Oreochromis niloticus: one gene and its partner. The protein of the gene in region 1 purifies or fractionates together with the protein of each later gene. This does not show direct contact. Links are inferred from orthologs where the notes say so. Each region holds a gene or a part of one and is shown in the gene's direction. Other genes may lie near its edges.

Region 1 (8,037 bases):
ATTAACTTCATCCAGTTTGATTATCTACAGCCGACGATCTCGTCTACCTCCTTAGCCACAACCATGCCAAAGTCGAAGTTAAAGGAGTTTTACAGTCAGTTTTACACTCCATACGAGCTGGTAGCGGACAGAACATTGCTATACATTTCACATAAGACATAATGTGGCATGTTTTTGTGGTAACATATAAATATTATTATATTTCACATTATAATAAGTATAGCCGGCTAACTAAATGGGCTACTGTACAAGAGGCCCGTGCACCATTGTTTCCAAGTTTATTTCTTTTATATTAAATTGATAGGTTTGGGCATTGTTCTCCAAGTCGCATCACATACCTGTGTGCTGCCACGGCACGGTTGTTCAGGTACTTCTGGGCAGTCATGACACCAACAAATAGGAAATTGTTAGATCTGGAAGCAGATTTCTCGGTCGGCGGTGAACCGTTAACTTCAGGCCACAAGACTCCCCCGTATTCTTTTCCGAGACCCCCGTTAAGCCCACACCCGGCAGAGTTGGCTTTTCTTTTCTGTCCAGCTTTCTTTAACTCACTCGCCTTGGGTAAAATCAGCCTGGAAGCCAGTGTGAACCCAACAACCAGTCCCAACAGAACACTAAACCAGGCTCTTCGACTTCGACCTGCCATTCCCCCAAACTTCATTAGCTCTGTCGGTAAAAGCAATAAGCAAGACTAGATCGTCTCGATACAAATACTAAAGACTGGGTCGATAGAGCTCGTTTTCCGCCAGAAAACCGGGCTCACGCGCAATCTCTCATGGTAGAAAAGCCCTTTTCTTCCAGATGCCTACGTAGCATCGCAACAGTCTTACTGAAGCCGTCACTTGAACAATTCTCTGTCCCTGCTCCTTCTGGCAATCAAGCTGTCCCCCGCTGTCGATCATGGACGAATTTAACAGCGATCGAAAAGCGCAGTTGCTTTTTATCCCTTAGCGTTCAATAGCGGTCCGACTCTCACCATTATCTCGCCATGGCAAGAATGTCGAGAAGAATGATCGCGAAGGGTTTAACAGTGGTTTGACCCAACGGCAGTTCCGTAGAAATCTTCTAATCGCCTCCACCCCCGTGGCATAGGGCCCGACGGTGCTGCCTTTAAATTGCGTATGAAACCCTACTCACACATCTAAATTCATCTGCTGTGTAAATGTAGACAAAGCGTAGCTTCTTTTTGCCATAGTTCATAAATCTTTATATTAAAGCAGTAGTAGTTATATAGTTAGTGACTATAAGTGTCACTAATGCACAAGCTATTGCGTGAAACTGTTCTAACAAAAGTCAAATTGCTTGATTGTGTACACATGCTGATAATGCTAAGTGTGACATGTAAAACCCTATTAACATAATATTGTTTTTCCAAGACAAAAATTTGTATCGGTATGTCATTTTATTACACTGTCATTTATTAAGATTTGTCTTTTACCTTTATCTGTGGCCGATAAAAGAACAAGTCACAATAAAGTTTTGAAAGTCTAACGTCCTTAAATGCAGCATGCTTGTTCTGTGATCTAGCGCCCCCAAGTGATTGTGGTGGTGTTCGTCACCACGTCGAAAACTGTGCCTTGTCTTCATTGTGGAAGATTTTACAGCATGTTTCTTTTTAGGCCGCGTCAATAAGTCACAATAAAAAGCGCTTCTGACGTGTATTAAACTGACGGTCTCTGTGAACTGCAACGTTCTGCTGGGAAAACCTCATGAAAGTCGTCATGAAAGACTGCCGGCACTCTTTTTTTGACACATACCACCCTCTTAAGAAACAATGGTTTCCCTATTTGTCAAAAATGTCAAACTGAACATTCTGAAATTAAACGACACAATCCTTTGTTATTAACAGTTAAAAAAAATTAAGAAGATTTATTTTCAAGATTTTTCTTGTTTGTGCTTTCAATTGAGATAATAAAAAATACTGAGCACAAAATATCACCATGTTTACTTTTAATTCTGCAATACAAAGTACACCTCCCATATATATGTCATTTCGATTCAATTTTATTTCTATAGTGCAAGTCGCACTTTATATTATAAGGTAAAGACCCTGCAATAATAGAGAGAAAATAACAAAAATCAGACGCCCCCCGATGATCACATGTTTGCCAACAGTGGTAAGGACAAGCCTTTTTTAACAGGAAGAAACCTGTAAAATCCGGCTCAGGTAGTGTCAGCCATCTGTTTCAACTGGTTGGGGGTAAAGGGAGAGAGATAAAAGGCAAGTCCTGACTCCTCAGGACTTCTGGCAGTACAATCCCTTCAATTTGACTACCATCCCTCTCTTTGGTTGTTGACCACATTCCCATCAAATTCCTGATGAAGACTCTTTCGGTCCTGTTCATCTTCTATAGTTCTAAGCATTTCAGGATTCATATATGAGGGACTGAGGGCTTTCTTGTAGCCAATCTAGGTGTTGCATAGGTTGGTCAGTGTGGTCTTACAGTCTGAAGTGACTCTGAATTGCATAAGAGGAGGAAAATGGATGGATAGATCAGGGCCACCAGGGCCATATTTACCATTGTATACCATCCTGCATTCTTTTAACAACACTCAATCAAATGTCTGGGAAATAAGGTGTTGTTCGCAGCAAAAATTTCTGGCACAACTTCACCTGCTTCCAAGGTGCATGGAGAGGATAAAAGAATTCAAAAAGCAGGAACTTCAACAACACTTGAGGGAAGAAGAACAACTTTAATAATTGACCAACGCGTTTCGGCTTGTGGCCTTCATCAGGGTCACAGTAAAACATTGTAAAGAATTGCTTAAATACAAGACAGGAAACAGAAAAAAATGAAATTCAAATTAACCAGTCAAAACTTCATAGATAGGTCAGCTGACATATAATAGGTAGGTATTGGTTAATTGGTTAAGTCACACCCAAGTAAATACTGGACTAGATCATTAATGATGAGGAGGGGGGGGGGTTGACATGGGGGTGATATGGGGGTTATGTCCCCCCCCCCCCTTCCTCAAGTGTTGCTGGAGTTCCTGCTTTTTGAAATAAGATGTTGTTGCAATTTTGGGAGAGGAAAGTTGTCTATTTCTTGTCTGATATGAATTCTACCTGCTCAACAGTCCTGGGTCTTCTTTTTTCTTTTATATTGTGCAAAATATTTACAATTATATTTATATAATTCTTCTCAATGGGGTTGGGACTATCAGTTGTGTTGTACAGATGTCTGGTTGGTACACAGATGACAGCCCTATTTGACAGCTATTAGAAATCATATTATGGCAAGAACCAATCAGTTAACTAAAGAGAAACAACAGTCCATCGTTACTTTAAGAACTGAAGGTCAGTCAGTCTGGAAAATTGCTAAACCTTTGAATGTGTCTCCAAGTGCAGTCATAACAACCACCAAGCGCTACAACGAAACTGGGTCACATGAGGACAGCCCCAGAAAAGGAAGACCAAGAGTCACCTCTGCTGCTGCTGAGGATAAATTCATCCAAGTCACCAGCCTCAGAAATCACAAAACAACACCCCAGATTAGAGCCCAGATAAATGCCACACAGAGTTACAGTAGCAGACAAATCTCTACATCAACTGTTAAGAGGAGACTGTGTGAATCAGGTCTTTATGGTCAAATAGCTGCTAAGAAACTACTACTAAGGAAAAGCAACAAGCGGAAGATATTTCATGTATTTTAAAGACAATACATTAAGAAACAGATTATATTAGATTTATATTTCAAATATGACAAATGCTGATTTTATAGCAGCAAAATTATTATCTTTAAAGTTTAAGCATTTAATAAGGCAGAAAGCCTTGCACTGAGTGGATAGTCAAACAAACTGAATCATTATAAATACATTATTTTATATTTATTACTTTTCAGAAAAAATTCTTATTACTTTATTATTATAGCACTGGAAATAAATAATAAGGAAATGATTCTGGATCAGCACCATAATTGAAACCTGTTGCTGTAGTATGCAAAGTATTCTGGAGAAGGTATAATATGTCACTGTACGTGCATGTGCGTGTGCATGTTTTATGTGTATAGATATTTTAAAATTATTACTCACAATATAACATTGTCCAGACAGGCCCTGTAAGGAGAGGAGGAGGAAACAGTGAATACATGAGCTACAGTGGCTCTCTCACCAACTGGATTACAAAGAGCACAGGTAACAATTACACATGTACCAGTTGTTGCATTGCAGAGGTGTTCAAGTAGAAAAACAATAATAAACACAACTACAATGTTTTGGTTCTATAACATTTTTCTATCATTACTTTATTATGGATTAATGGTGCAAGAGTTGTTAAGTGTGGATAATAAAATAATAGATTAATGCAATAACAAATTGTGCCTTGTTCTCAGATGAACAGCAAATGGACAGTGATAGATGAGATGAGGAGATGGAAGGAGGAAGCGAGGCAAAGAGTAAGTCACAGGCAGAGCCTAGTTTATTTCCCACAATTTTTTAAAAAAAAAAATCTGTCGCCTTATGGTTCCAAGCACTGTCACAGATCTTTGCATTTTAGGATTATCTCATAACACTTGTTTAATCAGCTACCAGCTCTCCTATGGAGATTTTAATGTCTACAGTCTCAGCTCTCCAGCACTATCAGCAACAACCCATCAACAGCAACACTGTACCCCATCAGGTAAAACATAGGCTACGTTTGCTTTGCATTGTCCCCACCTGATGACGATGATATAGTATTCTTTGGTGTTGTTCTGGGATCTTTTGTAACCTTAATAATTTAGAAACTGCACTTTGTGTTTACTTGTGTTATCTTTTCCCAACATTTAAATTTGTTTGATGATCTGTGTCTCTAACCTTTATTATGAAAGGTATGAAGAGGAAGTGACCTCTTTTGCGTGACGTGGTCGTGTGCTAGAATGAGTCATCTGGCTTCCGCCAACACGTCATCGTAAATAACCATCTACATTTTGTGTAGCAAGTTTTAAAGAAGATCTTTGGCAAAGAAATAAGTTACCATACAAGCTAATACAAGACTGATAGGTTTTCAAAACTACTCTGTACAACGACGCTTTTTGTGACTGAAACGGTCAGTTCATTTGAGTGTGGAATGGATGATGTAACGAGCGAAGACGATTATGATTCCACTTTCCATGTGAAGAAGCCACCCTTAAAAAACCAAGACTTGAGTTCCCTAAGCCTGACTGGTAAGCTTGCACGTTTAATTAGCCAACTTAAATAATAAAGAATATAGGAATACAGTTACTAACGTCCGTAAGACTTATCTGTCGTTCCACTGTAGCTCATGTTAAGGTGGGATAAAGGCGACATGTTGAGCTGAAGATGGACCCCCAAATATTTAGTATTTAATTCCTTTAAGATTATATTTATTGAAAAAAAAATGTTGTTTCCAGCGTTTCGTTGTTAACAATATCACAGCTACTTAGATTATTGTTTATTTCTGTTGTAATTGAATTACTGTAGTTGAGGAGTTCGTGGCCCATTATGGCTGGTACCTGCTGTTTGGAGCTGTAATGTTCTACCTGCTCATTCTGCACTTCAACAAGAGGAGATCAAGCCAGCACAGCCCAACGCCACAAGACTCACAAGGTCAGCACAACTCATTTTATATTTGTACACAGGGGCGGATCTAGAGAAATTTTCTTAGGGTGGCATGAGGGTGGCAAAGAAATCAAATGGGGTGGCAAAATCAAAGCCTTTTTTTTCAAACACATATGCAGGTGGTTACATATGGTTAAAATAATTCAAATGCAGTAAGTATACACGTTTTTCATATAAATATAGTCTATAACTTAATTATTGTCTGTAGCCCACATAATTACACACCGTAGTTACATAAAACATGTGAGTTTTGATCTTATGTACTGTATAGCCTGTATAATAAATAAATATGTAGCCCAATAAGTATAAAATCCAGAAAGCTACACAACACGGGGTGGTTCATTTACAAACACAAGTCTAACTTAAGTTTCACACTGTTTTTTGTTAGAAAACAATCCCATTGTTACATGCTTAAACTACACAAAATGTCAGAAATCTGCACTGTCATGAACAAAAATTTAAACCTAATTTTTCATGATTTGTTGGATTAACCCACTGAGGTCTGAAATACAACTGGACATTTTTTACTCCTTTTGAGTTTACGTTTGTATTTCACCCTCAAATTGTTTCATTTTATTTTATTCCTCCTTGCCTTGTTTGGTATCATTCTTTTCAGCTCAACTGAATTTAGTTGTTTTTTTTCACTGACATACTGCATTAGTATTACTGATCTGAAATCACACAAAGAACTTAAAATCCTAGTAGTATTTTTTTTACTGTAAAAAAAACCCCACAGGCATGTTGAGTAAATTTTTATAACTTGAAATGCAAATATAAAATGTACATTTTGTAAACATATACAACTATTTATCTAAAAATGCAGCCAATACACCTGCCGTTTTTTTCATTTTGTACAACCATTTCAAAATATTACTAAAACTAACCAGTAAAAAAAAAGGTTTTCCACCAAAAGACAGAGGAGAACATCACAGGGATAAACCTGCAGGCTTGACAACAGGAGGTGTATCACTCCGCTGGTTTTCTACTTAGTGACAGTGTTTACATTGCAAATGTGCCTTTGTGACATTCATTAGTGCCCTCACTGACACACAAAACAAAACGACTACACAACAGAACAGCTACACAAGACAACACAACACACTAAGTATACACTCCACACTAAACGTCACAAATCTCCCACATCTAAAAACTCTCTCTCTCGCTCTCTCTCTCTCACTCACTCGCTCTGTTTCGCTGCCGTTACCGTCACTCTCAAAACTCTCCCCTCTTCCTAAACAACCAAATCCCACGTGTTGACTTTTTTTTAAATTGGTCGATATGGTACATTTTTCCACCGATAGGAAAGAGGTGTTTTTTTCCCCTTTCTTTACTGTTTTCGCGCTGTCCTTAGAAAACGCGTCAGGAAAAGTCTGGAGAAAGCGCCAGCTTCCAATTTGGGATTACTTTGAATATGACTGTGTTTTGGATAAAGCAAGTGTCTTGTAGTGGAAAGAGACAAATTATGAGGGACATTTCTAAAGGGAAAAACATCCCACAAACCTTAAAGTGCACTTGAAAAGCTCACACAAGAAGGCTAACCTAGCTTACCTGGAGAAGGTAAGGGAGCACACTCAACCCTCATCCCCAGAAACAGAAGCTAACCCCAGGCAAGGCAGCGTGATGCATCCCGAGACAACAGGACTGGGATATCTACATAACTGTGTGAGTCAATTGCCTTAACACCCAGTGCTGCAAGAGTTAATAGTCTCATTGGGGCCAAGATATACATTTTATAGTTGCCTGGTATCAATGGTTGTTCATCTGCCTTTATTTATTTATTTAAAGAACCCATAGGTGGGAATGTGAGTTGTCTTTCTCTGCGTGTTAGCCCTGCGACAGACAGGCGACCTGTCCAGGGTGCAGGGTATGGTAGCTGGAATAGCAACATACCCAAGGATAAGCAGAAGAGAATGACTGATATGATGAAACTGGGATTTTGTTACACTTTATTGCAAACACAACTAAAACTATAACTGAAACTAATCAAAACTAAACTGAAACTAAGGATTTTCAAAAAAATAAAAACTAAACTAAACTAGCAAACAATTGGTAACAACTAATTAAAACTAATATAAAATTGAAAATCTGAAGTCAAAACGAAATAAAAATAAAAACTAATGAAAATTGCAAAACTATTAAAACCCTGGTGATTTGGCGGTGCAGCGTGTCCGTGGACCACAGAGGGTTAATAACACTCACCTTCCTTCCATTTCCAGAGTGTAACATCCAACCACCTGTGTAAAAAGCGAAATTCCCATGGTGTTGTTCAAAATGTGCTCTGGCACAATCATAAACATCGCTAGCTACCGAAAACAAGAAAAAAGCCGGACCTGCTATGGGCTGAACCATTTGTTAATGGTGGAGGGGGGGGAACACTATGCAATATATTCAGTTTTAGCATTTATATTCACTGTTGACTGTAACTATGCTCAAACTGTTAATGCTATCTTATTTTAATAAACAACACTGTCATATGCA
Region 2 (7,162 bases), on another chromosome or scaffold:
AAACAATCCTGGTTGAAAAGTAAAGTCCTAAATCCTAAACAATACAGAATTCTGTACATTTATACTAAATAACCAAGTGTCACTCATAGCCACACACCTGTTTCTACTGATGTCAAAAACATAAATGTTGCCATGGTGATCCCCAGCCAGGAAGGAATCACCGGTGGTGTCGAAGGCCACGTGGAGGAAACGCACCGTCTTGGCCTGCTGAGCAGTGCGGACCACAGTCACTACTAACACACTGAAAAAGGCAAACAACACACCTCATCAGAGACGAAAGATGAAGAGTGTCTGAGTGAATCATGGCTGCTCCCTAGTGGTCACCTAGGAAAAGACCTCTCTCTCTCCACATGTGCAGCAACCACCTGAGGTCTTACTTACACAGGTGTGGAATATTGATGGATGAAAAATTATTGAAAGTGTCTTAATGGGGAGCTACATTAACATTACCTTAGGAATAGCACAATTTCTCACTGGCACAGATTCTTTATAAAAGAACTGAAATCAAAATCAAATTTCATCACTGGGCTCCTTGATGGTGGTGTGACAGAATGCTTGAAAACGAGTGAGTAATAGATCATTCTCGCATTTTTTAATATTTACTAAAAACAATAACCAATGTCCTAAAAATGAATGATTAGCAACAAGGATATGACCTAAATGACAAGAACAAAATTTGCTTGATACTAAGTATTATACAAATTTTGCATAAATTTCGTTCAGAGCAAAATATAATCAAAGAGCACGAGACATTCAAAGCATGTTTTCTGTAAGAGAAGGAATTCGTAATTTAACTACATAATTTAACGACCCCAAGATGACATCTGATGACCTCCCATGGACCCTTAATAATGAGTTATGACACGTTAGTATACATCAAAGATGTGGTGTGACGACCATGTGATGTTTCCATTTTTTTTTCAAGGGTAGCTGCAGAGGCAGAGACCACCCTCTTTAACTTCTGACGCACACTCACTCGTTCTGTTCTATAACCAAATATGACAGAAAGCGACAAAAGACCTCCAAGGTTTTACTCCTAGTAGGGTTTCAAGGGCTAAAGAGTTAAGGGTTTTTGCAACTTTAAAACAGTCACTGTGCGTACTACAAGAAAATATTTCGAACTGAAGCAATGTGCAACATAAAGCAGTTCAGAAAAAGGTATAAAGATATGGTTTTCGTGAGGTATAAGAAAGAGAAAGATGTTTGAATGTCAATTAATGTCTCTGGTTAATTAGTTGGTATTCCAGGTTTATTCAGATTTTGCAATCAACACACCAAAGTTGGAGGTATTTGTCTTTCTTGAGAGGATGTAAAATTATGGAGCTGTAGAAACTACATATGGTAATATTTCTGTCCCTGGCTTCCTCTCACATCCCAAAGACCTGCAGTTAGTGGGATTAGGTTAACTGGTGATTCTAAATTTGCATTGGTGTGAGTGTAAGGATGATTGGCCTGCATGATGCTGTCCAGGGTGTACCTGGACACTCTATTGCAACTGGGATAGGCTCCAGCCCCCACCCCAACAACCCAGAATCAGATAAGCTGAAAAAGAATGGGTGGTTAAATGGATTTTGTATTTTACACAGTGTATGTAAATGCAAGTGAAAGTGAAATTATAAATATGTATATTGTTGTTATTGAGGTTTATATCAATAAAGAGGCAGGATAAACAATAACGGATTTATGGACAAAGGGTGGGGTTAAATAAGTGCGCACTTCTTCCTACTCTTTTGGATATGTAAACTACGTCAGCCAAAGTGAAGCAGTGTATTCTGCATGACTTTCTTTATACTGCTTCCATGTTCAAAAGAAACTGAACTAAACAAGCAAACAAATAAATGCCATAGACAATTTCATCCATGTCTCCTCCATGGATGTTTCATTGGGGTGAAATTTGGAAGAGGTCACAGAGCACTAGTCGCAATATTTTTATATTCGTTAAGCCAGTCAGAGACCTGTAGAGAAGATTTTCATTTATTTATTCAAAATTTCCTTTAATTTGATTCACATTCAAACATAAATCATTTGTAAAGCTGCAATTTGCTAGAACTACAGTTAAAGTTTCATAGTTTTCCAGGATTACTGCGGCCTTAATAAAGTCGTAAAACACAACTAAATCTTTGATTGCAATTAGTAAATAAAATAACTCATCACAACAGTAGTAACGAATCAGTATTCGTTATGTAAATACCAACAGAAACAGTAGAAATACTCACAGTAATAGTGCCAAAATACAGCAACCACGGCAATAAAAACTGGCAACTTAGAGCGGTATGTGTAATAAAGATAACCCGCATGTAAATGAGTCCGTGCAGCATCAGCTGCTGACAGTCTGAGAAACTAAATAAGACTTTTGGGAAAATTAAACCTACCTTTTCCCCGGTGTTGGCTTTCGATACCAGATTTTACCCTCCTCTTTGTTCCCAATGTCCGTCACCTCCATTTTCAAAAAGTCCACACAGTTCAGGAGGTAAATTTACAAAACACCGCTTGAGTAAACTTAATGTCACTATGATATTGCATGGCTTCTCCGCTAACAGATTAGCCGGCTAATCTGTTAACAGGCGGGGTAAACAGCGGCAAATTTAAAAGAGTAACATTGACTAAGTGCGGTAATGAGCAGAGAAGCCGTTTATGCTCTCGATAAAAGCTTAGCAATGTAATTCAGATTTAAGTAGTGCCCTAAAGGTTTAGCTGACCCCCTACGAACAGGTTTTCTTCACCTGTTATTGTTGTTGTTTATTTTATTGGTTGGTTTTGAGAACAGTTTTTTGTCGCCCAAAATTGACGAAATACGTCAGAAGGCGTGGCCAAGGAGCGTAAACGGCGAGGCTTTGTTACCCCTGTAAATTTTTTTTTCCTTTTTAACAATACCCAGAAAAAAAGTGAATATTGAGTAAATTTTTATTTTAAAATAACATTTAAAATTAAATACATGACGTTTATTTATGTATTAGTGTATATTTGTTTATTTTATTTATTTATTCATACATTCATCCACATCCACACAGTAAAGCTCCCAGTTTGCCAGTTATTCATTTTATTATGATAGTGTTTTTGTTGTTTTTATTATTATCAAAGTTTTGTTATCTCATATGTCAGACATCCAAAAGCCATTCTAATACTTAAGTATGTAAGTAAAAAATCGAAATCCTTCACCCTCTTCTTTAAAGGCAGAGTGAAAGATAAAAGGTAAACTCCAGCAACTGAACCCTGGGATAAATAATTACGATTAACTGATCGCCACCACTTTTTAAAAAGCCTTATTTCTTCCCCAGTCCTCTTCTTGTGGTCTGTGTTTAGATCTCCACAGGGGGCCGCGAGACCTGCGTCGTTCGGCACGCCTCTTTGTGTTGCTGGCTGCCTCTGGATGGTCAAGTGAGCGTGTTTGCAAATTTCACAGGAAGTGCAATAAAATGCAAGGCAATCAAGATATTGTTAGATACTGAAAACACATCCGGTTTAAATTTTTAAATTAAGAGCTTATTAGAAACAAATTTGGCCAATATATGTGCAAGCACACGGGTTGGCATCTATTTACACTTTATCGTCAACTATGCACATCCTTAATATTATAAATGACCGCACGAACTGATCATACTGCCTAAGGACCTTTGTAACACTTTTACACAGTGCGAGCAGGAAAGGTTCCTCTAAAATTCTTCATTTTATGTGTGTGTTATCTGTGCATGTGTGAGTTCAGGGTGGTTATGGCATTAGGGAAGAAACTGTTTTTGACTCTGTGGGTTTTTGTGCTGATGCACCTGTAGCGCTTCCCTGAGGAAAGCAGGCTGAACATGTTGTAACCAGGGTGGGCCATTATTTGCCTCGGATAAACGTAGTTTGTTGATTGATAATAATAATTTCAATTATATTTTTATAATTTTATTTGTTTCTAGTTCAGTAACAGTCACAAAGTAAGTAAAAAAGATTTTTGTTTCATCCAGTCTGTGGTAACAGTTGTCAATTAGGTTTTACTTTGAGAAGCTAAACCGGATGTTTCCTCTCTGATGTCAGTGGCTTCGTCGTATTTTGAAGCTAGCTCACTGTGATTAGCCACGTCATGTAAACTTAACAGTGGAGCAGTTGTGATATAAAGACAGGAAGCAGTCGCTGGTTTGGGAAGGACTTTAGGGAATTGTTAAAGAGGAAATTTTATTTCAGGTCTCAAAGTTGGCAGTAATCCTATGGAAAGATGTCAGATATCGGGGACTGGTTCAGAAGCATCCCTTTCATCACCCGGTACTGGTTCGCTGCCTCCATTGCTGTTCCCCTTATAGGCAAACTGGGATTGGTTGATTTCAGGAATCTCTTGCTATTTCCGGAGATGGTCTTCAGCAGATTTCATGTGAGTGTTTCTTGGTTTTTGGTAACTTGTCTGTCTGTTGGATTAGATAGCGAACAAATGCTGAGTTACTGTCTTTTGGAAACTAGGAGTTAGTTAGCAGGTGGCTAGCACTGCTAACTCAGCAGGCCTGAGTGTGGGGCAGCCAATGAGAGGACGAGACGCAGGAGGGTGGGACTTCCGGATGCTGTCAAAATGCTTGGATATGTAGTAACGCTGAAATGTAAACTAAATATAAGACGAGTGAAAACAAATACATATTTTCTATAATTTAATTACCAGAGAAGTAGAGACACGTTTTATTTTAAAGCATTTGTTGCGATAATATACGTTAGTTTTAGTGCGCTCTCGTCCACAAGGTGGAGACAAGTATTGCAGGGGATGTTATGAAATTAGGCCCTCAGGCACTGTGAAGGCCTCTAAATCAGGTTAACAGTGGGTTCATGCAAGGTTAGGGCATAGGTGTAAATCAGTAATCAAACACAGCTCAGGGCAAAGGGAATCAACCAGTCTGATCACTTTAAGTGCTGAAAAGTAGCTACCAAGTAATTCACTTCATATCAGTTCTAGTACTTAACTTAGAAGGAAATGTCATCATTCCACCTTCAGTAAATGGAAATATATCTCACAGCTATAGTTAAGGGATAATCTGAAGAATATTAAATATACATAATTACAGCATTAATACAGTACTTTGCTATGTACTTTGTTTGCATTGGTATTACTGTGTTTTCTTAAGTGAATGAATAAGCTTCTTTTAACTGAACAATCCATACACCTTCTGGAATTATTGGACTTTCTTGCTGTGGATTATTAATCTTAGGACATGTTGATTAAAACCACAGTTAATTTCATTATGTAGGCAGCCAATTGTGTGGCTAATAAAAGAAAGCAAAATAAACTGAAATAAAAATGCAGTAGTGCAGAGTCAGTATACTATATATAACCCCCTGATCTTTATGAGCCTATAAATTGTTAAGTGATAGTTAAGATGGTCACGCAAGCTGTGTGAAAGCACTGAATATGAGACTCTGTTGATTGAAAAGTTATTAACCTTTTGTCAAGTCCCAAACAACAAAATAAGATTATTTTTTTTTGTTGGACAGCACAAAAATTGGATAATGGTATGATCAGACACTTCTTTAAATTGTGACTGCATCTTGTCTTTTGCCTCCAGATTAATGGGAATTTAACATTTAAATGTGGTATTGATTTGACTTCTTTTACCAATTTTCAAATCTTTCTGTGAGGAAACACACACTCTGCAGAGGAATACCACACAGGAAGTAATAATTTGCAACCCACATGAGACTTAATGTGTTACAGACTTGGTGGTGAACATCTGGATGTGCAAACAGGCACAGCGACGTTGATGTCTTACTGCTTTTCTGTTGGGTTAATAACTCTTCTGCTTATTTCAGATCTGGAGACCGGTAACAGCCACTCTTTATTTCCCTATAACCCCTAATACCGGCTTCCTCTACCTGGTCAACCTATATTTCCTCTACCATTACTCCACTCGACTAGAGACAGGTAAGATCACCGGCCTTAGCGGTTTCTAAACATACAGCGCTCTTTCTAGCATCTTGTATTCATTTGTGTCATCATCATCTTCATCCTCATTTTTTTTTCTTATACCAGGGTCATTTGATGGCAGGCCTGCAGACTATATCTTCATGCTTCTCTTCAACTGGATCTGCATAGTTGTATCCTTTCAGATTGGCAATTCCTGTTTTAAAATCTCACATTTTAATCTACCTAACAGGAAATTATTCTTTCGTCATCCAGTTACCTCGCTGTTAGCCTATTTCCCACTCTACCATTCATTCTGACCCCTCCTGCTTTTGATCTCTCCTGCATTTCTCTTTCATCTTCTCTCTGCCTCTCTCTCTCGTTCGCTGCAGCAGTGTGCCATGTCAGGGTGGCTCTGTGCCAGCGGCCCGGTGTCAGTCTACCCCTGCAGAGCAGAGAAACCTAATCTAGGTCACATGCAGCACCAGCAGTACACTCAGGCCCACATCTCAGCTCTCTGTCTTCTTGTGAGAGTTCAGCTTAGATTGGCTGCTTGCTGCTCAGACATTTCTCTTTTATATGGGAAAAGCAGCAAAACTCTACCTCATCCAAACAACATGTTCAGTCTTTGTCGGTTCAGCTAAATGGTGAGAACAGCTTAAAAAAAGTGTGGGAGGCGTAACCTTCCAAGGTCAGATGCCTTGCTCAACTGGAAACGGCAGAGGTGCCTGCCAGCTTCCAAAAACCGGTGTAGGGGATTTGAACAGGCAACCTCCCGGTCCCCAGCTGTTCTAATTGTAGAGCTCCAGCTGTGATTGTATTGTTGTCGTCCTTGACTCAACCTGCAGATAACCGGGCTGCTGATAAACATGCAGGTGAGAATCTTCCTCGTCTGTCTCTCTCTCTCTGCATGTAGACTGCTGTAGCATCTATATAAAGCATTTGTTTACAACCGTCCTTTGAAATCTTAGGAGTGTTTCATAACACAAGACACCCACTTTAAAAAGGAAAGGTTTACATTTTGGAGAAAAAAAATAAACACTGCAGAGACGCTGCCACCTGCTCCTCTAAAGCTTACTAATTTCTGCGGCATTTCACAAAGCTTATCCAGACAATTTCTTTCTGGTCCTGGCCAAGAAATTGCATTAGGAAAAAGTAAAGTTGCACAGATTAAAGAGCATCAAATTAACTATTAGCGTGCTGGTAAGTGGATTTGACTCTCTTTGGACAGAGCCAGGCTGATGTGTTGTTTGATGGTATGCGACATTGACCTTGTGGTGGTGGTGGGACGACAGTGTGCAGAAA

The links.
Region 2: the proteins of selenos (region 1) and derl1 purify together in Homo sapiens (affinity purification with western blotting; 6 studies listed by BioGRID and IntAct, with this or other methods). This does not show direct contact. The link is inferred for Oreochromis niloticus from reciprocal best matches to the Homo sapiens genes SELENOS and DERL1.

What each region holds. Positions count from the first base shown.
Region 1 is NW_020327524.1:62,360-70,396, forward strand, and holds the start of selenos (selenoprotein S), read left to right. Parts: upstream 1-4,841; 5' UTR 4,842-5,047; coding exon 5,048-5,144; intron 5,145-5,421; coding exon 5,422-5,547; intron 5,548-8,037. Other genes in the region: chsy1 (chondroitin sulfate synthase 1), read right to left, coding at 339-661. UniProt on the Homo sapiens protein: Involved in the degradation process of misfolded endoplasmic reticulum (ER) luminal proteins. Participates in the transfer of misfolded proteins from the ER to the cytosol, where they are destroyed by the proteasome in a ubiquitin-dependent manner.
Region 2 is NC_031976.2:12,326,108-12,333,269, forward strand, and holds the start of derl1 (derlin-1), read left to right. Parts: upstream 1-4,007; 5' UTR 4,008-4,195; coding exon 4,196-4,348; intron 4,349-5,766; coding exon 5,767-5,878; intron 5,879-5,986; coding exon 5,987-6,051; intron 6,052-6,705; coding exon 6,706-6,732; intron 6,733-7,162. Other genes in the region: tbc1d31 (TBC1 domain family member 31), read right to left, coding at 98-241, 2,373-2,443. UniProt on the Homo sapiens protein: Functional component of endoplasmic reticulum-associated degradation (ERAD) for misfolded lumenal proteins. Forms homotetramers which encircle a large channel traversing the endoplasmic reticulum (ER) membrane.